Xenopus tropicalis: one gene and its partners. The protein of the gene in region 1 interacts with the protein of each later gene in a pairwise test. Links are inferred from orthologs where the notes say so. Each region holds a gene or a part of one and is shown in the gene's direction. Other genes may lie near its edges. The genes, in order: max, mxi1, mxd3, mxd4, mga and plekhf2.

Region 1 (5,338 bases):
GAGTGCCATTGAGCCCTATGGGAGACTTTCCTTGGGCCGGGTTGGAGCTGCAGAGTGCCATTGAGCCCTATGGGAGACTTTCCTTGGGCCGGGTTGGAGCTGCAGAGTGCCATTGAGCCCTATGGGAGACTTTCCTTGGGCCAGGTTGGAGCTGCAGAGTGCCATTGAGCCCTATGGGAGACTTTCCTTGGGCCAGGTTGGAGCTGCAGAGTGCCATTGAGCCCTATGGGAGACTTTCCTTGGGCCAGGTTGGAGCTGCAGAGTGCAATTGATTCCTATGGGAGGCTTCCAAAATCATGCACAGAAGGATCAAAGTCAGAAAGGTTTTCCCGCCGTTTACGATCGTTCGGATACGAAAATTTCATGGCTTTCGGATCGCCAATACAATATTATCATGACTAATACGTTTTTTTCATAAGCATTTTCGTGATATTTGCGATCATCAGAAATTATCGTGTTTAATCCGAATTTTTCCCATTTCGGGATTCAAACTCGTACTTTGATGAATAGGCCCCATAGAGTGAGTGTAGGTGAGACGCACAAGTTATTGTGGGTTCCCCAATAAGAGCGGTTATTGGATATTTTTTGGACAGTTGTGGAGTACCAGCCTGTGTTTACACTGTAACCCCTCAATCTGCCAGATATCAGCTGAATAATACACAAGGGGCCTGTACGTTTGTATAACTTTATAAAGCGCTACAGGAATGTGGAGAGATGTACATGTATGGGATCTGTTATCCAGAATGCTCGGGACCTTGGGTCTTCCGGATAAGGGATCTTTCCGTAGTTTGGATCTCCATGCTTTACGTTTACTAAAATGTCATTTAAACATGAAATAAATCCATTAGGATTGTTTTCCATCCAAAAGGATTAATTATATCTTAGTTGGGATCAAGTACAGGTACTGTTTTATTATTACAGAGAAAAGGGAATCATTTAACCATTAAATAAACCCAATAGGGCTGTTCTGCCCCCAATAAGGGGTAATTATATCTTAGTTGGGATCAAGTACAGGTACTGTTTTATTATTACAGAGAAAAGGGAATCATTTCTAAAAATTAGAATCATTTGTTTAAAATGGAATCTATGGGAGATGGCCTTTCCGTAATTCGGAACTTTCTGGATAACAGGTTTCCAGAAAATGGATCCAATACCTGTACAATCATATAACAGTACACACGGGGAAGGCACATATTATAAAAAACATAACAAATAAGTATATATACACAGAGATTAAGCACCATTTGGTATGAGGCACAGTAGGAAAGCCTGTAGAGCTTACAATCTAAGCTTGTAAAGGGTAGTATTTTTTTTTTTTTGCTTTATTCAGCTATTTCACACAATACAGTAGGCACCACGCAGGGCTTTTCTATACTCTATATCTGCCGAGCTGACAACAGGTGCACGAAAAGGTTGCTATGGCATCTGCTTCGTTAGCAACACGCTTGGTGTCGGTATCTTTTTGTTAGAAATGGCATAAAACGTCATTTCCCATCATATAATTTCTGCCCCCGGAACAACCAAACTGTAGATGTGATATACATAAATACGCTTACGACTTGAGATACACCCCTAAACGATATAATATCAGTTTGTATTAGTCCAAAGCGGATGAAGATGAAAAGCCCCACTACTTCCCTAAGCCTCTCTCCCATCTCCCCCGCAGGCCCTTCCCTTGTCACTACACAACAAGCCCGTAGCCGCCACAGCAGCCCAGTCACACAAACACAAACTCGCCCAGCTTCCCGTCTATACACGTGTCTCCAGCCCACTTCCGGGAAGCCGCTACCTGTGTAGACTACAAATCCCATCAGCGGCCTGGAACGTCGCGCCTGCGCAGTAAAGCTTGTTTGCTCCCAAGGCTATAAGGGAGTTGTAGTCAATTTCCGTGTTTAGGCGCATAAGCTGGCAGAGCGCTTCCGGCCCTAGTGAACTCCATTTCCCAGCATGCAGCGGGCCGGCTCTCTGAGAGGCTAGAGCTCTGGCTAATGATCCCTAGCAGTGTGGAGTCACGTGTGGCTTCCGTTGGTGTGTTTTCCTGGGCACAGAGAGGGTCTCTTCCCCCCCTCTCTCCCTCCCTTAATTCGGATTTTATTTTTTTTTTCTTTTTGCCCATAGTGTTTGTTTTCAGGCCCGAGCAGCCTCTCCCCTCCTTCCCATCACTATAGGAAAGCATGAGCGATAACGATGACATCGAGGTGGAAAGCGACGTGAGTGCGGGTTCCGCTTCCCTTTAACTTGGCTTTATATGGGGTGGGGGCGGGGGTGGCTGTGTTGTCCCTTGGAGAGGGGGCAACTGTCTGTTTAGCAGGGATCACCGCTTTTGGTTCTAGCTGTAACAGGAACAGTGTTTCCTATTCTGTGTGTGCCTAGGTCCTGCTGCACTACAAATCCCAGCATCCTCAGCAATACGGAGAAGGTTTTCGGGTAGGGCAGAGAGAGGGCATTTGTCCTGGGCTTCCAGTATCTCAGGGCATCTTGTTTTATTTGTTAGGACTCTGTATCCCTCCTGCACTGTATGTAGTATAACTTGTAGCATCCACCGGCCCTCCAGCTGCTCTGCAATCCTTAGCATCTCCCCTGGCAGGGATGGGAGGGCTGCAGCCCAACAGCTGGAGGGTCCTTAAATCAATATCCCCATTATGATATTATTATATACTAGGACCCCAGCATTCCTTCAGTGCCCAGGGTACCTTCATCAGTCTGGGGTTTATTGTTATTTATATAGCACTGAAGTATCCCATCATTCATATCAGCCTGGCACCAGTGGAGCTTACTATCTAAGGTCCCTATCACATTCACCAACACATAGGGGCCGATACATTAAATTACAAATTAAGAGTATAATTGGCGACAATTCGCATTAAATACAAAAATTTCTAATGTGCGTTAATTTTGCGAAGAGTCGCGTTGTACTTGTGCGAAAATATCGTGGTACGATGCAAAAGTTACGAAATTTTCGTATCCGTACGATCGTAAACGGCTCAAAAACCTTTCTGACTTTGACCCTTCAGTGGAGGATTTTGGAAGTCTCCCATAGGACTCAATGGCACTCTGCAGCTCCAACCTGGCCCAAGGAAAGTCTCCCATAGGGCTCAATGGCACTCTGCAGCTCCAACCCGGCCCAAGGAAAGTCTCCCATAGGGCTCAATGGCACTCTGCAGCTCCAACCTGGCCCAAGGAAAGTCTCCCATAGGGCTCAATGGCACTCTGCAGCTCCAACCCGGCCCAAGGCAAGTCTCCCATAGGGCTCAATGGCACCCTGCAGCTCCAACCTGGCCCAAGGAAAGTCTCCCATAGGCCTCAGTGGCACTCTGCAGCTCCAACCCGGCCCAAGGAAAGTCTCCCATAGGGCTCAATGGCACTCTGCAGCTCCAACCTGGCCCAAGGAAAGTCTCCCATAGGGCTCAATGGCACTCTGCAGCTCCAACCCGGCCCAAGGAAAGTCTCCCATAGGGCTCAATGGCACTCTGCAGCTCCAACCTGGCCCAAGGAAAGTCTCCCATAGGGCTCAATGGCACTCTGCAGCTCCAACCCGACCCAAGGAAAGTCTCCCATAGGGCTCAATGGCACTCTGCAGCTCCAACCTGGCCCAAGGAAAGTCACGATATTGAAGCTTGAATGAATAATGAAACTTTTGTACTCGTTGCGACAAATACGATTTTGTCGTGCAAATTGTTGGAAAGTACGAAAAAGTTGCGAAAAAAACGCACAGTTCTAAAACAATTTTTTTTGTATTCACACTCAATTGTACTTTGATGAATGTGCCCCTTAGTGTAAACATCGCATACACACCAGGCAGCCCCAGTAGATGTGTAATGATACCTGCTCTGTATGGTGGGCATGGGACTCTGGGACTAGTGCCTTTATTACTGACCTGTTTTCTATGTTGTTGGTACCTATCCAACAATAACTGCAGGGTGGTAAGATAGACACCTCGGTGAAGGGCAACAAACGTGTATGCATACCCTATTATTTTGGAAGGGTAACAGCCAGAGGTTATACTATGAACAGGTGTCTGTATATATTTCTGTTGGCCAGACTCATGGGGGGGGCGGGCGGAGCTTCATCATTTCTCCACTGGTTGTTTGGTGTCCCAGTGAGACAGGCTTGCTTGTTTGTTGTCCATTTTTTTCTATATTACCCTTGATATTAAATATTTTGGAGAGGATCAGATTGTAGGAAATGGTGATGTTAGGCATAGTTGTTCATATTACATAGTTACATAGGGTTGAAAAAAGACCATTGTCCATCAAGTTCAACCCTTCCAAGTAAACCCAGCACACACAACCTATACTTACCAATCTATACACTCACATACATAAACTATAGATACAATCATTAATACTAACTGTAGATATTAGTGTCACAATAGTGTTTGATACTATGCTTGTTCAAGAACTCATCCAGGCCCCTCTTATAGGCATTAACAGAATCTGCCATTACAACATCACTAGGAAGGGCATTCCCCAACCTCACTGCCCTCACTGTGAAAAACCCCCTACGCTGCTTCAAATGGAAGCTCCGTTCCTCTAATCTAAAGCGGGGGCCTCTGGTGCGTTGATTGTTTTTATGGGAAAAAAAGAACATCCCCTATCTGCCTATAATCCCCTCTAATGTACTTGTACAGAGTAATCATGTCCCCTTTAAGAAGGACCACATCCAGGCAGTAGGCTGTCCTGGAATACTAGTAGTGTTCATGGCTTTGTACTATTAGGGCTCTGGCACACGGGGAGATTAGTCGCCCGTGACAAATCTCCCTGTTCATGGGCGACTAATCTCCCTGAAATGCCATCCCACTGGCAAAAATGTAAATCGCCGGTGGGATGGCATACGCGGCGCCGCGTTTTCCCTGAAATCGCGGAAGTTGCCTTGAGAGGAACTGCCGGTTTGATGGCATTTCGGGGAGATTTGTCACCGGCAACTAATCTACCCGTGTGCCAGGGCCCTTAGAGTTGCTGGTAATGTATCCAGAATTTGGTTCTTAGTTTCATTGTTGAGGACTGGGCTAATGTATAAGCGTGTTGGTAACATAGATATGGATGATAAATCCGGAAGCTAGTTATTAACTAAAAACTGACATTGCCTAATCCATTATTCTCCTTGGGTAATTTCTGACCCATTCTGTTTTTATTAATAATATTTACACAATGCCTTGTATTTAATGCTTTCCGACCCAGTACAGATCCATAATAAAGGCAAATCATGCAGTAGAATTTGTGGGAAATACCAATAAGAAAGACCCCCTGCCCTTATTAGTAGAGTAATAGAGCCCATACCTTTAATACCAAGCAGGGTATTGTTATGAATATAAAATAGCAATTTAAAAAAAAAAATA
Region 2 (4,707 bases), on another chromosome or scaffold:
TGCCCCCCGAGTTCTGCCCCCCCCCCCCCACCAACTGCCCCCCAGCCTGCCCCCCCCCCGGGCTCATGTTCCTTTGCATTCCGGGCTCTCAGTACCCGACTCCCCATTTATTCTATATATATATATGAGAGAGAGTTGGGGGTACCTGTGGGGGTATTTCGGGGTGCCCCTGCCCCGGTGCATTATGGACTGTGTCCGGATGCTGAATGTGCAGCGCTTGCTGGAGGCGGCCGAATACCTGGAGAGAAGGGAGAGAGGTAAATGGGCTGGGAATGTCCCCCTTGTGTTTCCGTAGCTGGTACAGAATTACAGGGGCTGCTGGGTAACTGAGGAAACTCCTCCTTGTCCGTAAGCCTCTGTACCTGCATGGGAATTAACCCTGTGAGTGCCAGAGGGCCCAGGCTGGGAATGTGACTGCCCAGTGGGGGGGGGGGGGGGGAAATATTCCATAAAATATAACATTTGCATTGCTAATATGTATTTGGGGGGGGTAACAATGGGGGCCATACATGGCTCTGTGTGACTAATGAACATGAGTGGGGAGTTGGGCAGAATTGACACACACACAGGGGCAAATTGAGGGAACTTGTACCCCCCCCATTGTATGATTGTATTCAACTTGATTTGTGTAATTAATTCCCCCATTATAATTAGGGCTAGCGGGGGATGGGGGGGTACCCTTTCCACTAACTGCCCCCGGGGGGAGAGCAGGAGGTTTGTTTGGAAACATGGCGCCCCCCCATGTGGATTATGCAGTGCGGATTTATGGGATGAGCTCATCTCCCCCCGCAAACCCCCCCCCCAGTGAGAAATGGTTTGGCCTCAGTGTAATAATGAGTTAACTTGTCGGTCGTTACTTCCTGCCACAAATAAAATGTTATTCTGGATATTTGGAGGGGGGGGGGTTTGCATTATTTATGGGCTGAGAGACCCCCCCAGCAATCGGATTCATGTCCCTAATTGCACTGAGCTTTAACTGCCCCCAGTTTATTTGTGATGGAGAAAGACTGTATTAATAAAGGGTAAATATACCCAATTACTGAATGTCTCTAGTACTAGGATACAGCTTATTGTGTGCCCAGAACATTCCTTCTCTGTATATTTGTATTTATACATATGGGTAGGAGGTGCCATAGTGTTTCCCTTAGACAGTACAGTATGGGGGTACAGCTTATTGTGTGCCCAGAGCATTCCTTCTCTGTATATTTGTATTTATACATATGGGTAGGGGGTGCCATAGTGTTTCCCTTAGACAGTACAGTATGGGGGTACAGCTTATTGTGTGCCCAGAACATTCCTTCTCTGTATATTTGTATTTATACATATGGGTAGGGGTGCCATAGTGTTTCCCTTAGACAGTACAGTATGGGGGTACAGCTTATTGTGTGCCCAGAACATTCCTTCTCTGTATATTTGTATTTATACATATGGGTAGGAGGTGCCATAGTGTTTCCCTTAGACAGTACAGTATGGGGGTACAGCTTATTGTGTGCCCAGAACATTCCCTCTCTGTATATTTGTATTTATACATATGGGTAGGAGGTGCCATAGTGTTTCCCTTAGACAGTACAGTATGGGGGTACAGCTTATTGTGTGCCCAGAACATTCCTTCTCTGTATATTTGTATTTATACATATGGGTAGGGGGTGCCATAGTGTTTCCCTTAGACAGTACAGTATGGGGGTACAGCTTATTGTGTGCCCAGAACATTCCTTCTCTGTATATTTGTATTTATACATATGGGTAGGGGGTGCCATAGTGTTTCCCTTAGACAGTACAGTATGGGGGTACAGCTTATTGTGTGCCCAGAACATTCCTTCTCTGTATATTTGTATTTATACATATGGGTAGGGGGTGCCATAGTGTTTCCCTTAGACAGTACAGTATGGGGGTACAGCTTATTGTGTGCCCAGAACATTCCTTCTCTGTATATTTGTATTTATACATATGGGTAGGGGGTGCCATAGTGTTTCCCTTAGACAGTACAGTATGGGGGTACAGCTTATTGTGTGCCCAGAACATTCCCTCTCTGTATATTTGTATTTATACATATGGGTAGGGGGTGTCATAGTGTTTCCCTTAGACAGTACAGTATGGGGGTACAGCTTATTGTGTGCCCAGAACATTCCCTCTCTGTATATTTGTATTTATACATATGGGTAGGGGGTGCCATAGTGTTTCCCTTAGACAGTACAGTATGGGGTACAGCTTATTGTGTGCCCAGAACATTCCCTCTCTGTATATTTGTATTTATACATATGGGTAGGGGGTGCCATAGTGTTTCCCTTAGACAGTACAGTATGGGGGTACAGCTTATTGTGTGCCCAGAACATTCCTTCTCTGTATATTTGTATTTAAACATATGGGTAGGAGGTGCCATAGTGTTTCCCTTAGACAGTACAGTATGGGGGTACAGCTTATTGTGTGCCCAGAACATTCCTTCTCTGTATATTTGTATTTATACATATGGGTGGGAGGAGCCAGGCCCTGGGCTGACATGTTGGTGCCGTTGCAGAGTGTGAGCATGGCTATGCCTCGACCTTCCCGTCTCCGGAGAGTTTGGACCCACAGGGATTAAAACAGAGAAGGATCAAGTCAAAGAGATGCAGTGGCCTCGGCATTAGCAGGTAGGTACCTACCCACTCACAGTTACACCACACAAACCAAGAAGTGGTTCCTATAAATAACCAGGGTTTAGCAGCCCAGTTCTGACCCAAAGATTCAGTATCACACAACTTTATAGCAGCAGCCACAACATTTCCAGGAACCATTAAGGGCTCTGCACTGCTGGTTCTGACTCCTGATACAACTCCCCAATATCCATTCATCCCTCATTCTCACTGGGTTTATAGTTATGTGTAACTGTCACTGTGTCTGTCCCTTTCCCTTCCCTGCACTGCTGGTTCTGACTCCTGATACAACTCCCCAATATCCATTCATTCCTCATTCTCACTGGGTTTATAGTTATGTGTAACTGTCACTGTGTCTGTCCCTTTCCCTTCCCTGCACTGCTGGTTCTGACTCCTGATACAACTCCCCAATATCCATTCATTCCTCATTCTCACTGGGTTTATAGTTATGTGTAACTGTCACTGTGTCTGTCCCTTTCCCTTCCCTGCACTGCTGGTTCTGACTCCTGATACAACTCCCCAATACCCATTCATCCCTCATTCTCACTGGGTTTATAGTTATGTGTAACTGTCACTGTGTCTGTCCCTTTCCCTTCCCTGCACTGCTGGTTCTGACTCCTGATACAACTCCCCAATACCCATTCATTCCTCATTCTCACTGGGTTTATAGTTATGTGTAACTGTCACTGTGTCTGTCCCTTTCCCTTCCCTGCACTGCTGGTTCTGACTCCTGATACAACTCCCCAATATCCATTCATTCCTCATTCTCACTGGGTTTATAGTTATGTGTAACTGTCACTGTGTCTGTCCCTTTCCCTTCCCTGCACTGCTGGTTCTGACTCCTGATACAACTCCCCAATATCCATTCATCCCTCATTCTCACTGGGTTTATAGTTATGTGTAACTGTCACTGTGTCTGTCCCTTTCCCTTCCCTGCACTGCTGGTTCTGACTCCTGATACAACTCCCCAATATCCATTCATTCCTCATTCTCACTGGGTTTATAGTTATGTGTAACTGTCACTGTGTCTGTCCCTTTCCCTTCCCTGCACTGCTGGTTCTGACTCCTGATACAACTCCCCAATACCCATTCATTCCTCATTCTCACTGGGTTTATAGTTATGTGTAACTGTCACTGTGTCTGTCCCTTTCCCTTCCCTGCACTGCTGGTTCTGACTCCTGATACAACTCCCCAATACCCATTCATCCCTCATTCTCACTGGGTTTATAGTTATGTGTAACTGTCACTGTGTCTGTCCCTTTCCCTTCCCTGCACTGCTGGTTCTGACTCCTGATACAACTCCCCAATACCCATTCATCCCTCATTCTCACTGGGTTTATAGTTATGTGTAACTGTCACTGTGTCTGTCCCTTTCCCTTCCCTGCACTGCTGGTTCTGACTCCTGATACAACTCCCCAATACCCATTCATTCCTCATTCTCACTGGGTTTATAGTTATGTGTAACTGTCACTGTGTCTGTCCCTTTCCCTTCCCTGCACTGCTGGTTCTGACTCCTGATACAACTCCCCAATACCCATTCATTCCTCATTCTCACTGGGTTTATAGTTATGTGTAACTGTCACTGTGTCTGTCCCTTTCCCTTCCCTGCACTGCTGGTTCTGACTCCCCAATACCGTTTTCCTTACAGCCCCTAACACTTCTCCTTTCTGATTTCAGATCAACGCACAATGAACTGGAGAAGAACCGGTAAGTACCTTTGGGCCAGTAATATCTGTGTGTTCCTGGGGATCAGGCAGGGAGCAGACATGGGGGCCACTAGTTATTTTTTACTATTCCTAATTAGCCAGACACTGGTTTTAGTAGCCTGGACTTTGTGTTACCCCCTCCCCCACCCTCAGCCAAATGTGGGGGGCAGCTTGGGTGCAGTTTGGGGACCGTTCTGGATAAAGGCCCCTTTGGGTGGCACCAGGAATGGGCCAGAGATCCTGACTGATGTTGTATGGGGGTACTCTCAGCGGAACAGCGCCCCCTCCTGCAGAAAAAAGCAAAATATGTAACTGAGCCTCGTCCGTCAGCGAATCAGCGGCTGCCTGTGCCCATTCTCTGCCCATTCCAG
Region 3 (5,383 bases), on another chromosome or scaffold:
TTCTATAAAATGTCAACACCTAACATCAATTTTTTATACATTTAACCAGAAGCAAACAGGCATTTATGTGGCGTTCCCAGTTGGAACTGACCTAAAGGTCAATGTGTCCACTATATGGGTTAAATGTGTATGTAGAAGGCTGTTATATTGAGTGACTAATTGGGGTGGATTCGAAAAATGACTGGCAAACACGGACAGAGCTAGCAATCAATGAGCAGAGCTGACAATAAATGGAGAGGAGACTCAGGGCCGCCATCAGGGAGGGAGAGGGGGTACTGTTGTTCCCGTGAAAATCTGCTTCGGAATGGGGCCCGGATGCGTCACAAAAGTTATGCATAAGGTTAGGTTGAAACTTACACAATTTACTTAACTTCCACAAATGTTGCCTGGAAACTTAAGAAACTGACCTAACTTGCCTGGCAACTTAAGTAACTTGCAAAATACAATGCAGAGAAGGGGCAAACAGGGGCAAACTCCACTCACCACCAATGAATTCAACAACTTAGAAGTAAATTCTACTTTCCTCCCAATTAACAGACTGACTTATTGGCACATTAATAATTGATTTTAACTATTTATATGAACTGCTTATTATAGAGTAATGTCAGCTTTTTGTTTTAGGAGCTATTTACTGAATTTTATTAGTGTCTTCTACATGAAGTTTCAGTAGGGGAATGACTGGTTATTGGGCTGCACAGCAACATCACTGGGTCCCTACGCTAATGCAATTTATGTAGCTTGTGCAAAAACGTATCTTACCTTAACAGAAAATTACGAAACTGAAGTATAAACTTCACTGACCCCCCAATTAAAATACTGGCTTATTAACACAGTAATTATTATATACTTTATATTATATTAATTGGGCCCCACAGCAATCAATCATTGGGCCTCTAAACTTACAGAGTTAAGTAGTTTATGTGAAAAGGTGGGAAAGGGTTAAACTTAGGGTAAACTCCACTGACCCCCAATAAACTGAATGACTTATTCATTGGACAGCACTGTACTAATGTATTTTCCATGTTGATTGAAAGAACACAACAAAGGCATTTCATCACTGCCAAAGCTTAGCAATTTTAAAGCTATATGAGATAGTGTTTGCTTTTGCGAACAAACCAAAGAACCATTGGCTAGGAAGCTGACGCACCGCCCTATTGGCCATCTAAGCCTGTTAGATTGTCCAGCAGAGCAATTAGTCTCCGGCAAGAGATCTCTGCTACAGGGGCCGTCTAATCAATCCGAAATGCCTTTGGCTTTCCAAAATCGTGTGAAGTTTCCTCCTGCAGGCCTTTCCACTGTTGATTCCTTTTTTTGCCGGTGGAAAGGTTTTTTGAAAAGATTAGTCGCCTGCGGCAGCAGAGATTTAGCGTAGGTGACTAAGCTCTCCGTGGGACATTATGCTTACTGCCAACGAGACTGTTCAAGTTTGGGATCCTAAAATCTATAAATAAACCTATGTGATGGTGTCCAGTCCTGCATTTGAGCACTTTGTCCTCCATCCTGTGCCACCTCAAAAGGAGGGAGCAGGGGTAATAAGAAAATAATTGGACATTTGTGGAGTAATTTTGTAGCACACTTTGGCCATGCCCCTCATTTAAGTCCCATTACACCCCAATGTCTGACTATGGGAGACAAAGACCCTAACACAGAAAGCATTGACACATCTCTGCAGTTGCAGGTAGAACGACAAATGTCTATGTTTCTGTAGTTACAAAGGCTTCACGTTAATAACTTGACCCACTTAGTCGTTTAGCAATGAGCTCTATTATACTTATTAGTTAGCACTGTAAATACGCCCTGGAACCTTAGGGGCTCTCAAGAATAAAATGTTTCGAGGAACTACTTTGAGTAGCTCAGTGTATCCCACTCTATCCCGCCTTCCTTCTCCCACCATTTTGTCTCAGTTTTACATGTATTCCGCTGCTTTTTGTGTTTGAAATTTTGAAAGGTGCTTGACTTTCCCGCCTGAAACTGTTGCCATAAAACATGACGCTTCTAAACAACGCCGCGCCCCCCTCTCTCAGTATCCAATAGAAAAACTCGCACAGGAAGCTCCGCCCGTTTCAGGAAGCTCCATGGTAACCGTGGTCTCCGGTAAGCGGCTGAAAACGTCCCAATCTCATTGTGCCAGCGACATCCTGGAGTAGCGGCAGGGACAAGCAAAGGGCCGAGAGTTGGAGCTCAAGTAATAATAGCGGCGGTAAGTGTAGCTGAGGGAAATATGTGACCTAGGGCGGGGCAAGGTGGGCGGGCCCGCAGGCAGTTGCACTCGTTCTGCCGTCGCTCGGTAGGTATCAGCTACGTTGCTTCTTCCGGTGTTGGTTCCGCTGTGTGACAGCTAGAGATCCCGACTCGGAGGACGGCCTATGCTGTGGGCACATATTGGAAGGGATCAGGTGAGGAGGGCGGATGAGCTGGAGAGATCCCTTGTAGGGTGGGGAAATCCGATCATAACAATAACAAGTCTTGAGAGGTGGGAGGCCTTAAGGAGCCAGCCTACAGCAGAGGGTTTCGCCCTGTACCCTCGGTCTCCTTGACGATTAAAAGTATAAAATACGTGTAATACTAAGTAATAGTTGGTCGATCTGTTTAGGAAATACAGGCAACCTGCAGATCCCCAGCCCTCCTGCAACTCTGTTGCTGCGATTGTGGGCTATTGAATTTCAGTAGGATGTGCAGCTTGGGCAGCACAGATTTATGGGACAGGGCCCAGCTCCCTGCGCTGCCAGGGGCCTCTCTTTTCTTACTCCTCGGGCCTTGCATAGAGCAAATATGGAGGCGATCGGCTGATAATGCTACACTAGGGGACATGGGAGGATCACGGCCCATATAAATAGAATTTGTTCTGTGTGGGGGGAGGAACTAGTTTGTAACTGAACTGGCTGGGACTGCGCTTTCCAGCATCCCTCCTGCCTCTGCTACTGACAGTCCTGCAGCTGCTGGAATTGCCAAGGTATCTTATTCATTTCTTCCTCCTTACTTGTACATTTATACATGGTTTTATTCAGCCAAGATATTAGTCACACAATTCTAGTAGCAGTGCAGGTGAATTAGAGATCACGGCCACAGAACAATTGCTGGGGGGCTTTTCACACATTCTGACCAGATCACCCCTTTAACTGGGGACATGTACAGGCATGGAACCCATTATCCAGAATGCTAAGGACCTGGGGTTTTCCTGATAAGGGGTCTTTACGTATTTCAGATCTCCTACCGTAAGTCTACTAAGAAAATTGTTTGAACCCAGTAGGATTGTTTTGGCTCGAATAAGGATTAATTATATCTTAGTTGGGATCAAGTACAAGGTACTGTTTTATTATTACAGAGAAAAGGGAACCATTTTCAAAAATGTGAATTATTTGATTAAAATGGAGTCTATGGGAGATGGGCCTTCCGTAATTTGGAACTTTCTGGATAATGGGTTTCCGAATAAGGGATACCTGTACTTTAAAAAGAAGAAAATTTGTTGCCAAATCTGTATTACTTCTTACTGTATTTTTTTCTATATGTTTGCCCAATAAAATGGGTGATTTGATCCCACTTGTGTATGTAGTAGAGTAGTTTAAGGATATTTTCAAGTAATATTTTTTCCTGACAAATGAAAAGTTGACCATATAATTATTGGTTCTTCTTGGACAGTTGGAACTATTGGAAGCTGTGAACTGCTAAGGTTAAGAGGCAGCAGAGAAGTGAGTCCAAAGCAAGAGACTGCCCAAGGAGCTTTGCCGAAATCAAGAATCTCTTGAGAGGCTACTGCTGCATCTCCCCCTGCCAAAATGGAGCAGCTCCCCAGCAATCTGCAGGTTCTTCTGCAAGCTGCTGAGTATGTGGAGCGAAGGGAAAGAGGTGAGTTTATATATATTTTTCTCCACCTTGTAGTAGTCTAGTCCAGGGGTCCCCAACCTTTCTTACTCATGAGACACAGTCAAATGTAAAAATACTTACAGGAGGCTTTATTTGGTAGGAAATCTTGTTTTTATTCAACCTAAACTTGCCACCAAGTCAGGAATTGAAAAATAACTACCTGGTTTGGGGGCACTGAGAGCAACATCCAAGGGGTTGGTGAGCAACATGTTGTTCCTGAGCCACTGGTTGGGGATCACTGGTCTAGTCCCCCAAAAGCTGTCAGGTGACACAATCTAGTGTCACAAGTTGGATCCCTGTCAATGTGCATGGGTTAACCAGTGCCTTAAATGTTAGAGCAGTAGTTGCAGTTGAAGGTACCCATTAGCTTGTAACATGTTTACATATATAGTTATATTAGCCATATTTCCAAGAATAACTAGTACCAAAACTATGTTTTCACTACAGATGCCATCCTAATTGACTGATAAGCCTTGTTCAGGTATGTCTAGGAGAGCAAATAAGTACTATCCCCAAATTTCACATCTCGCCATGTTTTTCAGGTTAAGCCCTCCTGCCACTGCTTCAGCCCCCGTATACAGGACAACTTAAGCTGACTGCTTGGCCTCTCCAGACCGATTGGGCAGCTTATTGTGCTATGTATGGCTCCAAAATGGTGGCATACTTGAAATGTTTCTGACCAGGGAAAATTCCATTGTGTGAGATGCGGTACTCTGCTGATGGGTGGCCACATTAGGCAGAGACCCAAAAGCAGATCTTACTGTGTATGCTCACTCAAACACTCTAAATTATGAATCACTATTTCTGACCTAAACCCTAAAACTGTAAACCCTGACGCTATATTAATTCATGAAACTGAATAAGATTGCACTTGATGGTTGGGCTACCTGTCCTGTCAACTAAAAAGTAGTAGCACTAGTGTAAGAATGTTATAATATAAGATGTACTTTTTTTGTTGTTGTCCCCTCTCATTTTCTATAGTGAGCTGGTCAAATATGGGCTGATAATACAATGCCCCATACAATGTATGGGGCCGACCAACTTGTCCAACCAATATCTGTCCAAAAACTGGGCAGGTTTGACTCGAGGAATGTATTGGCACAGTGCTGCAGTCCTCATTCGTCGGGTCCCCATAGGCCCCACTGTATGGGGTTGTGGGTGGCTGAATTAGATCTCGCCAAATAAGTTTATTACCGTGTAAGACCATCGGTATTTTCATTTTACTTCGTTGCTGTCTGTCCTTGAAAACTCTAATATATACTGAATAAATTACCCCTATTATAAAATCTAAGGATATTTTAAGTCACTGAGGTGATGTCCTATGACCAGGGGGGGTACTCTATATTAATACACAAGTTTAAGTGAGTCAAATGACATCACTAAGCACAATTTATAAGGATTTAATTGACAGGTTATGCATGGCTTTTGTATTAAATATATAAATGCGTTTTGTTGGTTTTTTTCTCCAAACGTTAAGACTGTCTAATATTGATTTCAGAAGCAGAGCATGGTTATGCCT
Region 4 (4,585 bases), on another chromosome or scaffold:
ATGATACATTATTCCCATTGGCCCCCTCCCCAGTGGAGCTTACAGTCTGAGGCCCCTGTCACACACACATACTATGGTCAGTATACCACGGAGCCAATTAACCTGTATTGGGAGTGTGGGAGGAAGCCCACTATGTAAAGAGAATAACAAACTCCTTGCAATTAGTCCCCTGGCTGGAATTGTATTGGAATTGTACCCAGGACCCAAGCGCTGTAACCATGGTTCAAACTACAAAACCTACAGTTCCATTGTGCTAGAGTTTGGCTCATAAGGCAGGGAACTTATTCAGTCCTAATTGGTCGCTTGGCTAGCAGCTTACTTAGTCATGTGACATCCTTTCACTTCTGATTGACAGGTTTTTCAGACCATGCACCAAATCTGACGCCTCTATTAGTGGTGCTGCGTCATTATGTGAATATGCTGTTCTGTTGATTATGTCATGCGATCAGCAAGAGATCTTATTGGCTAGGAAAACGTTGCTCTGCACTCCCTGCTGACCAACCATTCTCTTCTTGTTTTCTTTTTAGGCGAGCAAAATTACGATTATATTTGGAGCAGCTAAAGCAACTCGTGCCTCTTGGGCCAGATAGCAACAGACATACTACTCTAAGCCTTCTGAAAAGAGCCAAAATGCACATAAAGGTACTTTAGCTAGACACGCATTCAGCTAGAATGATGGGTAATTTAGCTTGGACATGTAACTGGGGAATTCATTTGAGTTTCCTCTAGGTTTAGTAACAACCAATCGGTAGTTAGCATCTATTGATCTACTAATTAAAAACAAACATATGATTGATTCCTATGGGTTACTAGACCTGGAGCTGTCAATCGGTTATTTCCCCCACTCCCCGTCTATCTGTTTGGTATTCATCTATGGCCAATATATGCTGCTGCTGCTGCTTATCATAGTCTGTCTTTTTTTTTGTTGGTAATTCTGGTAGAAACTAGAAGAACAGGACAGAAAAGCTCTCAATGTTAAAGAACAGCTTCAGAGAGAACATCGCTACCTCAAGCGCCGTTTAGAGCAGCTCTCCGTGCACGGGATGGAACGAATGCGCACTGACAGCATGGGCTCCATTATATCCACAGATTCGGAGCAAGGTAATGGAGAATAATTGGTCACCTTGCCTATTTTGGCTCTATATAATTCTAATTATGGCTGGGCTACACTGGGCTACACTCATTTAACAAGCGATTGCGCCCTGGGAATGATGCACTCTGCACCTGGAGCTGGACTGAAAATCCGGTACTAGGTACAGAATGCAGCGTCGGGGGGCACAGGGGAGCCCTGTCCTTACTGCCTGCCCTAGGGTCCCTACACGCCTGCACCCTACTGCTTATTGCAATACATTGATGATGAACTCAGTCATCATTGTAATCATAGGGGAAGCGGCGGTTCAAAATAGAGCACACAGATGTGCGGCTATGTAATAATCACGAAAGGCCTTCTGCTAAGTAACATGTTCGTTACCCTAGTAATACTTGTCACTGAGAAATACTAAGATGACAGTTTCTGTTGCTTAAAGGTCCCCATACACGGGGCGATTCTAGCTGCTGATATCGGTCCCTTAGACCGATTCGGCAGCTAATTGGGCCCTACCGACGGGCTTGCCCAACTGATACCTGTCCTGAAATCTGCCAGATATCGATCGGGCAGGTTAAAAAATCTAGTCGGATCGGGGACCGCATCGGCTTATTGATGCAGCTCCCGGACCGATTTTTCCTATACCCGCCATTATAATTTGATCGTTTGGCCCCAGGGATTCTCCCGATATCGCCCACCCGTAGGTGGTTCATGCGTACCACCATATGTAATACAGGACACAGGAGCAGTTATTCATAGACCCATCAACATGTGTGTTTTTAAACAAGTCACCAGAAAATTCTACCTGCTGATTGGTTGCTATGGGTTACTGCACTTGGGCAAACTTGGTTCCTTTTTTACATAACCCCGTTGGTGTTCTCAGGGCAGCAGCTGAGAAGCTAAGCTTAGGGGTCATAGGAAATTATTACAGAGTATGAGGTTGGCCTGTCATATAAAGTGATGCTATAGGGCTGATTATTAAATTCTGTTTACTGCACTGGTTTCTGGGCTGCCATGTAATGTAAATCCACATAAATTACTAATGTCACAATATTGTGACATTTATATTCTATATTTACAGTATACTGTAGTGTGACATTATATTCTATATATACAGTGTAGTGTGACATTTATATTCTATATATACAGTATATAGTGACATTTATATTCTATATATACAGTATATTGTGACATTTATATTTTATATATACAGTATATTGTGACCTTTATATTCTATATATACAGTATAGTGTGACATTTATATTCTATATATACAGTACAGTGTGACATTTATATTTTATATATACAGTATATAGTGAGTGAGTCTCTAAGCTCAGGTAAGTGACAGCAGCACAGAGTATGGGCAGAGAATCAGCAGAAAAGAAGATGGGGGGGGCTAATGGGGCATCTTTGGGGGCACAGACCTTCCCTGCTACACAGTATAGTGTGACATTTATATTCTATATATACAGTATAGTGTGACATTTATATTCTATATATACAGTATAGTGTGACATTTATATTCTATATATACAGTATAGTGTGCCATTTATACTCGGTATATATACAGTATATAGTGAGTGGGCCCCTAAGCTCAGGTAAGTTACAGCAGCACAGAGTATGGGCAGGGAATCAGCAGAAAAGAAGATGGGGGGCTACTGGGGCATCTATGGGGGCACAGACCTTCCCTGCTAAAGGCCTATGGTTGCCTTGGGCTGGTACAGAAGCCCAGAAGCCCTACTTCTTTAGTTGCGCTTTAGTTCCCTTTAATGATAGCTTGGTATATCATAATTTGCATGCAGCAAGTTAGCCAATCACAGTCAGGGTCGGACTTGGGTTGCAAGGCCCACCGGGCCTCCTGCATCATGGATCCTGCAGGGTCCCCAACCCGGCATCCTCGCTGAGCGCACATAACTTTAACGCATTAGGGGAGGAACGGTCACACAATGGGAGCGCTGGCAAGGGTCGGGTCGGGTTTGGGCCGCCGGGGCCCACTGGGATTTCTCCTGGTGTCCCGGTGGTCCAGTCCGACCCTGATCACAGTGAGCCTTTCTGAGGCCATGCCAGTCCCCATTCTCAGCGTACATTTCACATCATTATCTTAGTTATACACCTAATTAATATTTACAAATGTTACAACCGATGCATGCAAATGTTATGGCTGAACCTCTCCATTTCCTCTCTCCTCAGAGGTCGATATTGAAGGCATGGAGTTCACGCCAGGGGAAATAGACAGTATTGGCAGTGACGTTGATGACCACTACAGTTTGCAAAGCGGCTCCAGCAGTAGTGGATACACACATTCCCTGAGGCTCAATTCCAGACTTTCATAGTGGCCTGAACACTGGACCAATTCAGGACCACCAAGCTGAAGGCACTTATAAAGAGAAAACAAGGAAAAAAAACTTAAAAAAAAAAAGAATTTCAAAAAAGAAAGTTACTGATATGTCAACTGCCATTTGGCAAGGGCTGAACATGCTCAGTCCCGACAAGGAGCTTTTATGTGCTGAGGCCCCTTGCATTGTAACCACACCACTACAGATTGCAACAAGGCACTATGTTGCAGGGGAGAAAAAAAGTACATTGTGGAACGGCCAAGTTTTAGCATAGGGGCACTTGCCAAGGAGAGAAGGGGGGGGACCTTGGGTGGAATATATACTGGAGCTCTTTTACCACACTGGGCACTGTTGCCGAAGTGCAGTAAACCATAGCAACCAGATTAGATATTTGCATTCAGTGTTCAGCAGACTGATCCAAGCAAGTTATTTTGGTTGCTGTGAGTCCTACAGTGAGGTAATTTTTTCCCAGTCATAAAGTAAATGAGCCCCATTGTAAGATATTAACAGCACATGTATCAAGGATATCAGCCCCCAAAATGTTTGTTAGCCCCCAACTTCTCAGTGTTGCCTTGGAGCCCCCTCCCCTCTTCTCTAACTTGGGCCGTGAGTTTTGGTGTGAGGTAATGGGGGGGGGGGGGGGGGACATTAACGAAATATAAAGTAGAAGCTCAACAAAGCCCTGTTCTACAATCATATCATTCCATTATATAGTATTACACAGAAACAGAGAAAAGGCGCAGGTCGGATTATTTTTGATTACCAGAGAACCATTTAGTTTTGAGAATGAAGAAGAATTTGTACAATGCTGGTCAAATTTCATAGCTATACGTAAGAATATATAAAGATATATATATATATCTATATAAAAAAAATCTACATTTTCTTGAAGTACAGGTAAATGAATTTTGTAGCGTCAGTATTTTAAGCACTTGGATTCGGAGAGGAAGAGAGAAGTCCAATTTCTATGACTTTTGTATGTCAAGGTGATCTTTGATAGGAGATTTTATTTTTCAGACTCTTTACTGTAAAAAAAAAAAAAGGTGTTTGCTCTGAGACTTTATGGGATATTATTCTGTTCCATTCAAATTATTGTCCATCCACTGTTGAGCGACCAGAGATGCATCCATTTGCTGTGCATTGACGGTCAAGGGAAAAGAATGTG
Region 5 (4,707 bases), about 15 Mb from region 1:
GACAGAATATACATTTTTCCATATGTTTATAGAACAATCACTGAAAATCATAGTTTTTTTTCTAACGTAAACCTTGTCTTTTAGGTAAGACATTTTTTTGATTCACAAAACTCAGAACATCTTATAGCCAGACTCCTAATATTTTATTCTTTTTGAACATCTGAAGATACTTGCAGATACTTACAAGACTGAAAAGGAAACATTATCTCATCTCTCTTTGCTTGAAATATTCTGTATTGCTATATCATGCTTGTAGGTATATGTATAAGACTTGCCTAAATCACATAATTCAAGTTATTTTGCTTATTTTATTTTAGCTTCTAGATCTCCATTTGTTTCCAGAACTGGCAAAACAATGGATTACACAAAGATAAAAGGCTGGAAGGATAAATTCTCAAATTCCATGCCATCCTCTTCTAATAATCATAGTTCAAAACCAGTGATCAGTGGTATGTATGCCATCTATTATATTGATTTGATTTTTGTGAAACATTAGGCAAAAATGGCTAATTCCCTATTCAGTGAATTCATGTTGAAAAGAGGGTATACAGCCTCTTTAATAAATAGTAACATTAGCCATGCTTCTCGTATTTTATAGGTAAGAGCCCTGACAGCTCTTTGAAAAATCGCTCAGCTTTCTGTAGTGATGAATTAGACGAATATCTTGAGAATGAGGCCAGATTAATGGAGACTTCTGGTGGCATTACACAAAATGAGCCAGAGCCATCAGCTATTAGCCAGCTTCCGGCTGTAAGTACAAGTTCTGTAAAGACCATTCATACTGTGCTAAAGAAGCTAATTTCTCTGCCATCACCTTCCTCAAAAGCATCAAAACCCCATGCAAAAAGAAAACGAACCAAGACACCATGCAAAGCTTCAACACCAAAAATAAAAGCAAAGGGAAAACAATCCTTGGAGTTTGAGAATATAAGAGACAATCCTGTTGCTTCTGAAACTGGTATGACCTCTATTAAGCCTTCTCAGGAATCGGATCAGGTCATTCCAGGGATACCCAGCCTTGTACCATCCATAGAAGAGACCTTGTTGCCTAGTATAAGGCAAGTCCAGCTGCCAAATCAGCAACCCCAATTACGACCTTTTGGATTTTCCAAGTCTCACATGAAACTTTTGGATATGGAGGAAAATACCCTCTGGAAAGGAAAATCACGCACTTACATTACAGAGGAGCGTGCAGATACATGTTTAGTTGTCCTCCTCACTGCACAGGTAATTTGCCTATTAATTGTACTTTTTATCATGGTTCCTGGCTATAAAAGAATTTTTTAGATAGGTAACCTGAGAGCTTCTAAGATGAGAGCTATCTATTTGTATATACATGTAACGGACTATTGACTGTTACTGCTCCCAAATATAACTGTACAGGTATGGGATCTGTTATCCGGAAACCCATTATCCAGAAAGCTCAGAATTACAGAGCCACATTACAGAAAGACCCCTTATCCGGAATACTCTTGGTCCCGAGCATTCTGGATAACGGGTCCCATACCTGTACTTGGAACTGCCATCTTTGTGTATCCAGTTACAATAATAACAGATATATCTACTTTCTCCTAAACCCTAAACTGGAGAGAACAAATGGAGATACCCTAAATACACTAATATAGTATTATTTGTTTATATAAAGTATTTGTCAGATGTACAAACAATGTCTCCTTATTTTTTTATTTAAAAAATGATGTAATGCCTAAAGGTCAATTAAGTGCTTCAGGAGGCTAGATGCACGCCCCAGTGCCAATAGGGTTGGACAATAAATCATTCACTCCCCAGAATTACCCTGTTACCATTCTTAAAGGAGAAGGAAAGGTAAAAACTAAGTAAGCTTTATCAGAAAGGTCTATGTAAATACAGCCATAAGCTCTCACAGAAATGCTGCACTGAGTTCTCTTTTAAATTAAACAGGATTTTTTGTCTTTGTTTTCCTGTGCCAGAGACATGTAGCTCTGTCCTCTCTTCCACCCTCAAGAATGCTAAGAACTCCCTACCCCCCCCCCCCCCTTTTAGGAATGTGTGATCTGACCCAATCAGCAGGAAGCTTTCTCATAGTCTTACAAACTGAGCATGTACACTGGTCTTGGTGCCGGAGCATGGCATTATGAGAATTTTCTTTACAGAACTCAGCTTTTTTTTTTTTTTTCCTATATGGCTTCTGATCTCTGAATGGGAGAAATATGGGGAGACTTAAGGGCACTATTGAGAGAGCTGAAAGTATGCCTGCAGCTTGAGATTAACTCTTTATTAGCCTTTCCTTCCCCTTTAATGATCTAGAGCTATCCAACAGTGCTGATATAAGTTGTCCAGCCCTCCAGACTCATTCAGCTGTATAGTGGCCCTTGTATAGGCCCTGTCCAACCAATAAATGGTTGAATATCGACCAGGTAGATTTCTAAAATAATTTGAATGAATTCTGCATCAGCACGTTGATGACTTTCCCTCCCAGTCTGTTTGCATAGGCCCACATTTTAATTTGCTCTGGGCCTATGCAGTTTGGTCTGGAGACAAACAACTGGATCAACTTAGTTTGGCCTGGTACATGGATGACCAAAAGATTTTTGCTTACAGATGTAAAGTGTATAAGGTTTTCTGAATTTTTTTTGTTAAAGTAAAAGATATCATAGGGAAAATAACCTAAATGTATGTTTTACATTAGGCTATTATGTGTTATGTCTGTAGGTTTATACGTGTCAGGAATCTCAATAAAATCGTTTTTATGCATGTATTTGCCTTTTGTGTAGTGTACACATGAGCAAAATGCCAACAGTTAAAAACTAATGGATACATTGGAGGGAATCATAGCTCATTGTAATAGCTTTTATTGAAGCCAGTCTATTGGTGAGCTCTTGCAGTACCCCCCAAACTACTTAGTTACCCTTTGTCTTTGATACTGTTTCTTAACCGCAGGCCCCAGATGTTGCTGGACTACAACTTTAGTCAAATGTTATTGCATGTTGGGAGTTCCTTAACATTTGGGGAACCATCTTTGGCATGTAGCATTTCAAACAAATAACAAGACTATAATCTTCGGCTTCCTGTAGTAGGTTCTTAAGGAAGCACGTGCCTAGTGGTAACCATTGCAAACTTATTGCTAAGGATTTATAAACTACCAAGTTTTCCAATAAATTAAAAATTCTTGTCTTTTTTTTTTTTTTTTTTTTAGGCTTCTCTTAAAAACAAACCAATTCACAAAGTTGTTCGGAAACAAATTTCTCCATGCAACAAATTGTTCTGCCGGCTGGGTTGTGTGTGCCAGAGTCTTAATAATAAGGAGCACAATTTTGCTCACTGCCGCCATGCTGACTGCATGCTTGAATGTTCATGCATACAAGAAAAACAGCTTCTAGAAAAAGATAAAATTGATATCAAAATGGAGTGCACAGAGAAACTTACAGAAAAAGAGTGTTTCTGTATGAAAAGCTCAACAGAATGCATGGAACAGCCTCTGGAAAAGGTTGGGATAGATATCAAAAGCTCAATGCAGTGCACAAAACACCTTCTAGAAAAAGATGTGTCCAACATCAGAAACTTAGCAGAGTGCATGGAACAGCTTTCAGAAAATAATGGAATAGACATTGACAGTTCAGCAGACTGCATGGAACAAACAGCCAATCAAGAAAACCCTTATTCCCTTTCAACAAGAGATTCTGAAGAGGTTCTAAGAACCAGGGAACAAGCCAAAAAAAGACTCAAAAGCAACTCTGCAGAGAGCAGTGAGTGACATTTTTGCTGTTTTTAACTAATTACTGTTAGAGTTTCCCTCTCTGTTATAATTGGAGTTGATCAGTATATTCCTTGCAGGGACTTACATATCCGTGTCATGCACATTGTTTAATATTTGAGAATGTTTGGTCAGGTGAATCAGCACACAACACATTTAATTTAAAAACATTGTGTACAATCCATTTCAATTTTTTGTTCATTTTTTTGTAGGGAATATATGATGTTAGTAAGGTACGATTTATTGTTTTTTATATTTATTATTATGGTTCTCTTATGTGTTTAGAGCATTGTTTGTTCAGCAAATCATGCTTTAGTTATTGCATATTTTTCTTACAGGCCAGCAGAATATTTACCCTTTGCCTCTAGAACAGTTTCCAATTTGGAAGATATGGGAAGATGATGCAGATCCCGAGCCAATATGTATTCCAAAACAGTCTGAGTTGGAGGAATGCAAAGTCCGAATGCCACAAACTGAACAGCTGCAGTCCGAAAAACACACACCCCCTGGCACGAGTAAAGCTTGTGGAGGATCCTCGCACCATATGGTAAGTACGATGCTTTACCAGTCCAGACCGTTACGGTTATGTACATGAACTAGATACCGAAAGTTACATTTATGGGTTTTTATTTTTCTCATAAAATATGATTCATTGTATATTGATCAAAAAGTTTTGCCTCAGAAAAAATAAAGGTAGTGAAATATAAAGGACACCAGGTTGTACAGTTGCACAGCAACAAATGGTTGGTTTATTAATGCAGTTATTTTAGATAATCAAACTTCAGTTGGTTGCTCAAAAAGTGGAAGTTTAAATGGATACTTTATTATGTATATTTGAAATCAGGTGCTTTAAAGCAAATACATAGATTTCTTGTACTTTAATGGGATGGATGAAGAAACAGCTGTTTTGTCGTGTTCAGCAGATGTTTATTGTACAGCAGTTGTGTATTTTGTATTCAATATAACAAATTCCC
Region 6 (5,271 bases), on another chromosome or scaffold:
GATCTACACCTTCTATTTCCTCATCTAATAAACCAGAACAATGTAGTACATATATTATGAATCAGCGAACATGTTCTCTATGGCCGAAATAAGGGAAGTAGACATCTTAACTGCCGGGCAGCCTGGTAAACATAGGAGGCTGGGAAGAGGCCAGTCGTGGGTCATTCAAAGGGTGCACTTTATTGGGTGCACATGAAACAGACAGAGTTTTGCTGGGGGCCTGGGGCCATGACGTTATGCCCTTGCCAAGGTTCATTTACATCATATTATCTTTAGCTGGAAGCAAAAGTGAGTGTTAAAGGAGGTTAAAAAAGTAAGCTTTATCAGAAAGGTTTATGTAAATACAGCCATAAGCACTCACAGAAACGCTGCACTGAGCCCTCTATCTAAAGAAACACAGGATTTCTTGTCTCCTTTTTGGGACTTCCTCTCTCAGAAAAATCCTTCATTCTGGGAGCCAGAGTCTGCGCAGCTCTCTCCCTTCTCCTAACTCGCGTAAGAATTCTTAAACCTCACTCCCCCCTCCCATCAGAATGTGTGATGAGCTAGAAACAGCTAGAGCTGCAGCAGGAAGCTATGAAGACCAAGCTAAAATGGCAGCTGCTATCTTCAAGGAGAACTAAAGCCTAACTAAAGAAGTAGGGCAGAAATGTTGAACATTAAGGGGGAGATTTACTAATTCACGAATGCAAATCCCGAAAGGGACAAAATCGCATTGGAAACAAAAATTTTGCGACTTTTTCGTCGCTGTCGCAATTTTTTCGTATTTGTCACGACTTTTTAGTTGCTGCCGCGACTTTATCGTATTTTGCGCGACTATTTCATCGCCATCGCAATTTTTTCTTATTAAGCGATTGTAAACGGCTAAAAAACCAATCCGATTTTTTCACGACGGCGGCGAAAAAGTCGCAGAACATACAAAACAGTTGTGACAGCGACGAAAAAGTTGCAAAAATACAGATCATTACGAAAAAAACGCATTCGGACGCCTTCGTGGATTAGTAAATCTCCCCCTATGTTTTGGGCTTTTGTACACGGCATCCACATCTCTTTAGGAGGGACGATCTGCGCCCCCACTATCAGACGCCATTTCTGCCAAATACATACATGCACATAAACTTGTCGATTAAATAAGTGCATATATGTTTAAAATGCATTCTAACTCACTTCAATGTATTTTGGTACGTAATGCACTCGAAAACAAAGTTTGCCACCTCCAACATGGCGTTTGCCCCTCCCTCACAAATAAAATAAACCATTTCCCCGTTACACAGACATGTATGAAGCCACAAGTTTATGTTTAAAGCCAGAGGTTTGTTTTGTTTTAATACTGCGTTATGGGTAGAACGCAGCTCGGCGCCGCTACAAAGCCAGCAGCTGCCACACTAATACATTACACTACTACATTACAGTACATTACAGTACTACACTACTCCAGCAGCAGTTGCAGCAGCGGCAGCGCAGGTTGAAGGTCCCTGCCCCAAATCCCCACATGCCCTGCCGCCCCAGCCAGCCAACGCCGAGGGGCGGAGCTCGCCCTTTTCACGTGATGAGAGGAGTGTCCGCCCTGTCTCTCAGGAGTTTATGCTGCCCGTTCCTTTTATTTATTATTTTTAACGCTACCGATACTTCCTAAATCCCCGATGAGCGGCGCAGGGGAGGCCGCGCGTTATTTTGCGCCGTGTCAGGAGTCCGTGTGAGCCGCCGCCGCCGCCGCAGGAGAACTTACCGGGAAGGCACAGGAGAATCGCAAAGCTTAGCTCTCGGTGTAGTAATCACTTCCTTCACTTCGGTAAGTTCGTAACGCACTCACCCCCCCCCCAGCGGCGTTAGATGGTTTGTCCCATAACCCTCACCCTCATTCCTGTCAGTGTTTGTGGGGTGAGCGGAAACTTTCCCTCCGAGCTTTTCCCGCGGCCATGTTGTCAGTCAGTGAGAGACACAGTTGGCAGCTCATTATATTATTACTAGTGGCACTTTGCACCGAGCTTGGTACCTGCCACGATTTCAGGCTTTTATAACTGGCAAAGCATGGCAGAAACACATACCTATTATTTTAGTTTCCACTATCTCTCATCTATTCATTCTAACCATCTATCTATCTACCTATCATCATCTATCTATCTATCTATCATGTCCTAGGCCACCTGGGAAGCCAGCAGGGGTACAGGCAGTAGAAATGTTCAGCACTTGAGGAGAGGAAACAATTCCTACCTGTTGTAGAAACTAAATTCACTGCTGTTACCTCCAGGCCACTTTTACTTAGCATTTTTTTTTTTTTAAATAGGCCTAATGTTTAAAAAAATCCATTTGGCTTTTACTGCCCTGAGTCATCGCTATGCAGCGGCGCAGCCAATGGGGAACTGACCTGCCATGAGAAGCCCAGTTATTCCATGACAAAGGGACACACTTGGTTTCAGTGCTGTTTATGGTTTCTCAGTTTGCAGAGTAAATATCTCATAGGTATCAGGCATAATGTACCCCTTATTGTAAAGTATGACGCTATCCGTCAGCAATTGTGTGACCATATAAAGGTATTAAGCACATAGTCTGCCCACAGCAACCAATAGCATGTTTGCATTTTAAACAGGTGACCAGTGAATTCTGCCTGCTGGTTGGTTGCTATGGCTTACAAGTGGCTTACAGCACTTATATTTGCCTATTTGTGTCTGTAAGTTACCCTCCCATATAGATTGTAAGCTCTACGGGGCAGGGACCTACATCCTCCAGGCAGGAACCCCTCCTGCCTACCCCTAGTCTGCTCTCTTAGTGATTGCCCCGCCGCTTATCATGCAGTGGGGGCAATGATCTATCGCGTCACAAACCCCGCCCCCCTCGACTGCGCATGCGCGAAAGCACACGGGGGGCGAGGTAGCCGACCGGGTTGCCTAGGGCGCCCGGTCATCTTGGCCCGCCCCTGGGTGCGACTAATCTCCCTGTGTGTCATGACCCTTAGGGCTGTGGCAGACGGGGAGACTAGTTGCCCCCGACGAATCTCCCTTGTCGCGGGCGACTAATCTCCCCGAAATACCATCCCACCGGCAAGTATGTAAATCGCCGGTGGGATGGCATATGCGGTGCCGCGATTTCCCCGAAATCGCAGAAGTTTCCTCTCCAGAGCTGAGGGCAGAGCTACTAGTAGCAGCTACTTGTCATGGCTAAAAAAATAGACAATGCTGATCATTTACTGATAATTGTCTCTACGTGTGTTTTAGCAGAGCCAATTTTCAGTATTGTCTATGGCAGGGTATTTTCTGGCATTTAGTAGCATTGAAAAAGTAGCTGCTACTAAAAGCCCAGTGTGTCTTCACCCTTAGGGAGAAGGAGGTTGTAGGTTTAGAAAGGGGGAGAGAGAGCAGCAGAAGGGGCTGTGCCTGACCTGTTGGTAAAGCTGCTCACTGCCCACCCTTTTCTGTGGAGCTTCTTCAGGTTACTGACACTGGTGGGTGTATGATTATGAAACTCCAGATCTCCAAAACACTTGTGCATACAGGGTCAGAATAATTTGCATGAAAATTCTGATTAATAAAACATAACTTTGATGGTAACTCCTATGATCATAAATAAATGATATAGCTTTTCTATGTTGCAATAATCCTTTCCCCTTTGACATTTCATATGTATGGGAGGTGTGGTGTACTTCTGTGTCCCAGCCTATAAGGGTTTAGGAATTTGCATGTCACCGGTGATTTTCCCCAACCAATAATTTTGCCTCAACTTCTTATTGGAAAGAGCGGTAGATTGCTGCTGTTGCAGTTGTGTCTTCCTTGGGCGGGGATGACACTCTATCCCTACACACAGGAAAAAATGTATTTCTGAGGACTTCCTGTAACTGCTACTTGCGCTTTAGGGTTCCCTTATAGAAAAAATGGGTAGGGGAGCCTTGAACTCCACAGTTTTTGGTCTGATTGTGGCAGCCTGTGTGCTGGTAACCTGTAGCTGCAACTTTATTCCAGTTGTTGAACTTAAAGGGGACCTGTTACCCACACATTAAAAGCTTTAAACTCCCCCCAACAGCCTTTGATTTTCTTAGCTAGATTGGTTTGACTTCCCCTTTGCAGTTCATTCAGCAGAGTGTTTATTGTGCTGTACAGTTTCTTGGCAGGAGGCTATTTCATTTCATACACCAGAGGCTCATTGAGTAGTGTTAACTGGTTCAGGAACACAAGGGCATAATTCCTTACCCTCTATTTTTGCACAGTTTCTTAGAATGCACAGCACCACTGCTTTGTTCAGTCTTCAAAAGAGATGATGTTTCAGCCTTCTGTGTAGTGTTTACCTAGTGCCTGTTTAGCAATAAAGCGAATAAACACAAGTATGCAGAGTTCAGAACAAAAACACCCCTGAAAATGAATCATTAAATGCATAACTATTATCTCTGCTAGGACCGGCTGTCAGAGCATGCTGGGAAATGTCATTTGCAAACAGCTGGAGTACGATACTCAGGGGCCAGATTAGGAACACTGCTTTCCTAAAGAATTACTGCGCTGATGCAAATAGGTTTGAACAGACAATTGAAAGAGCTAAAAGTAAATACCTGGTTGCCTGGGTTACCCCACAGGTGCAGCATTTCCCATTGTTGCAAATGAATGTTATATCCTATATATTTTAAATGGGGCATATTATTTTTTGTAACGCACTGTGTCATAGGCTTAATATTTTATTATTTGGATCCCCTGTTAGATCTCAGTGGTTTGGTTTATACAGTATTGTGTATGGCGGAATTATTAACTTAATGGAGAATCCCCCTCCCCCAAAAAGGCCTAATAAATAAAAATCTAAGCAACTTTACAATATGCATCCATTGGAAATGTTTAGTTGATTTTAAAGTTTTTTGTATATAAATGTAACAGTATTCAGCTCTCATCCAGCCGGTACTCTAATCCCCACAATGTCTTGCACAGTTCTGTCATTCTTCTTAACAAGTCTGTAAGTCTAAAGGTGGCCATACACGCTTGGCAAGGTCGCCAAGCAAGCGGATCTTCTCCCAATATCCCTGGGGCCAAACAATAGAATTAGAACAATGGGTATAGGCGTTCGTCGGTTCAGGGACTGCGGGGACCACATCAACGAGCCGATGTGGTCCCTGATCCGACTAATTTTCAAACCTCCCTGATCTAGATCTGCCCGATTTCTTGCCAGATGTCAGTTGGGCAGGCCTGTCGTTAGTGCCCGTACATGGTCCGATAAGCTGGCGAATCGGTCTAAGGGACCAATAACGGCAGCTAGAATTGGCCCGTCTTTGACCACCTTATGACTATGACTAAGGAC

What was found.
Region 2: the proteins of max (region 1) and mxi1 interact in binary tests that used the Homo sapiens proteins (3 or more experiments, as listed by UniProt). The link is inferred for Xenopus tropicalis from reciprocal best matches to the Homo sapiens genes MAX and MXI1.
Region 3: the proteins of max (region 1) and mxd3 interact in a two-hybrid assay, tested with the Homo sapiens proteins (4 studies listed by BioGRID). The link is inferred for Xenopus tropicalis from reciprocal best matches to the Homo sapiens genes MAX and MXD3.
Region 4: the proteins of max (region 1) and mxd4 interact in a two-hybrid assay, tested with the Homo sapiens proteins (2 studies listed by BioGRID). The link is inferred for Xenopus tropicalis from reciprocal best matches to the Homo sapiens genes MAX and MXD4.
Region 5: the proteins of max (region 1) and mga interact in binary tests that used the Homo sapiens proteins (3 or more experiments, as listed by UniProt). The link is inferred for Xenopus tropicalis from reciprocal best matches to the Homo sapiens genes MAX and MGA.
Region 6: the proteins of max (region 1) and plekhf2 interact in binary tests that used the Homo sapiens proteins (3 or more experiments, as listed by UniProt). The two-hybrid records come from large-scale screens. The link is inferred for Xenopus tropicalis from reciprocal best matches to the Homo sapiens genes MAX and PLEKHF2.

The regions. Positions count from the first base shown.
Region 1 is NC_030684.2:119,934,643-119,939,980, forward strand, and holds the start of max (protein max), read left to right. Parts: upstream 1-2,032; 5' UTR 2,033-2,174; coding exon 2,175-2,210; intron 2,211-5,338. UniProt on the Homo sapiens protein: Transcription regulator. Forms a sequence-specific DNA-binding protein complex with MYC or MAD which recognizes the core sequence 5'-CAC[GA]TG-3'. The MYC:MAX complex is a transcriptional activator, whereas the MAD:MAX complex is a repressor.
Region 2 is NC_030683.2:2,931,446-2,936,152, reverse strand, and holds part of mxi1 (max-interacting protein 1), read left to right. Parts: intron 1-96; exon of another isoform or gene 97-124; coding exon of another isoform or gene 125-257; intron 258-2,515; coding exon 2,516-2,627; intron 2,628-4,307; coding exon 4,308-4,337; intron 4,338-4,707. UniProt on the Homo sapiens protein: Transcriptional repressor. MXI1 binds with MAX to form a sequence-specific DNA-binding protein complex which recognizes the core sequence 5'-CAC[GA]TG-3'. MXI1 thus antagonizes MYC transcriptional activity by competing for MAX.
Region 3 is NC_030679.2:46,161,933-46,167,315, forward strand, and holds the start of mxd3 (max dimerization protein 3), read left to right. Parts: upstream 1-2,174; 5' UTR 2,175-2,200; intron 2,201-2,251; exon of another isoform or gene 2,252-2,953; intron 2,954-3,639; 5' UTR 3,640-3,776; coding exon 3,777-3,846; intron 3,847-5,341; coding exon of another isoform or gene 5,342-5,362; coding exon 5,363-5,383. UniProt on the Homo sapiens protein: Transcriptional repressor. Binds with MAX to form a sequence-specific DNA-binding protein complex which recognizes the core sequence 5'-CAC[GA]TG-3'.
Region 4 is NC_030677.2:21,431,770-21,436,354, reverse strand, and holds the end of mxd4 (max dimerization protein 4), read left to right. Parts: intron 1-527; coding exon 528-642; intron 643-941; coding exon 942-1,101; intron 1,102-3,274; coding exon 3,275-3,417; 3' UTR 3,418-3,476; downstream 3,477-4,585. UniProt on the Homo sapiens protein: Transcriptional repressor. Binds with MAX to form a sequence-specific DNA-binding protein complex which recognizes the core sequence 5'-CAC[GA]TG-3'.
Region 5 is NC_030684.2:105,153,743-105,158,449, reverse strand, and holds part of mga (MAX gene-associated protein), read left to right. Parts: intron 1-317; coding exon 318-449; intron 450-598; coding exon 599-1,227; intron 1,228-3,175; coding exon 3,176-3,725; intron 3,726-4,071; coding exon 4,072-4,280; intron 4,281-4,707. UniProt on the Homo sapiens protein: Functions as a dual-specificity transcription factor, regulating the expression of both MAX-network and T-box family target genes. Functions as a repressor or an activator.
Region 6 is NC_030682.2:130,454,142-130,459,412, reverse strand, and holds the start of plekhf2 (pleckstrin homology domain-containing family F member 2), read left to right. Parts: upstream 1-1,590; 5' UTR 1,591-1,792; intron 1,793-5,271. UniProt on the Homo sapiens protein: May play a role in early endosome fusion upstream of RAB5, hence regulating receptor trafficking and fluid-phase transport. Enhances cellular sensitivity to TNF-induced apoptosis.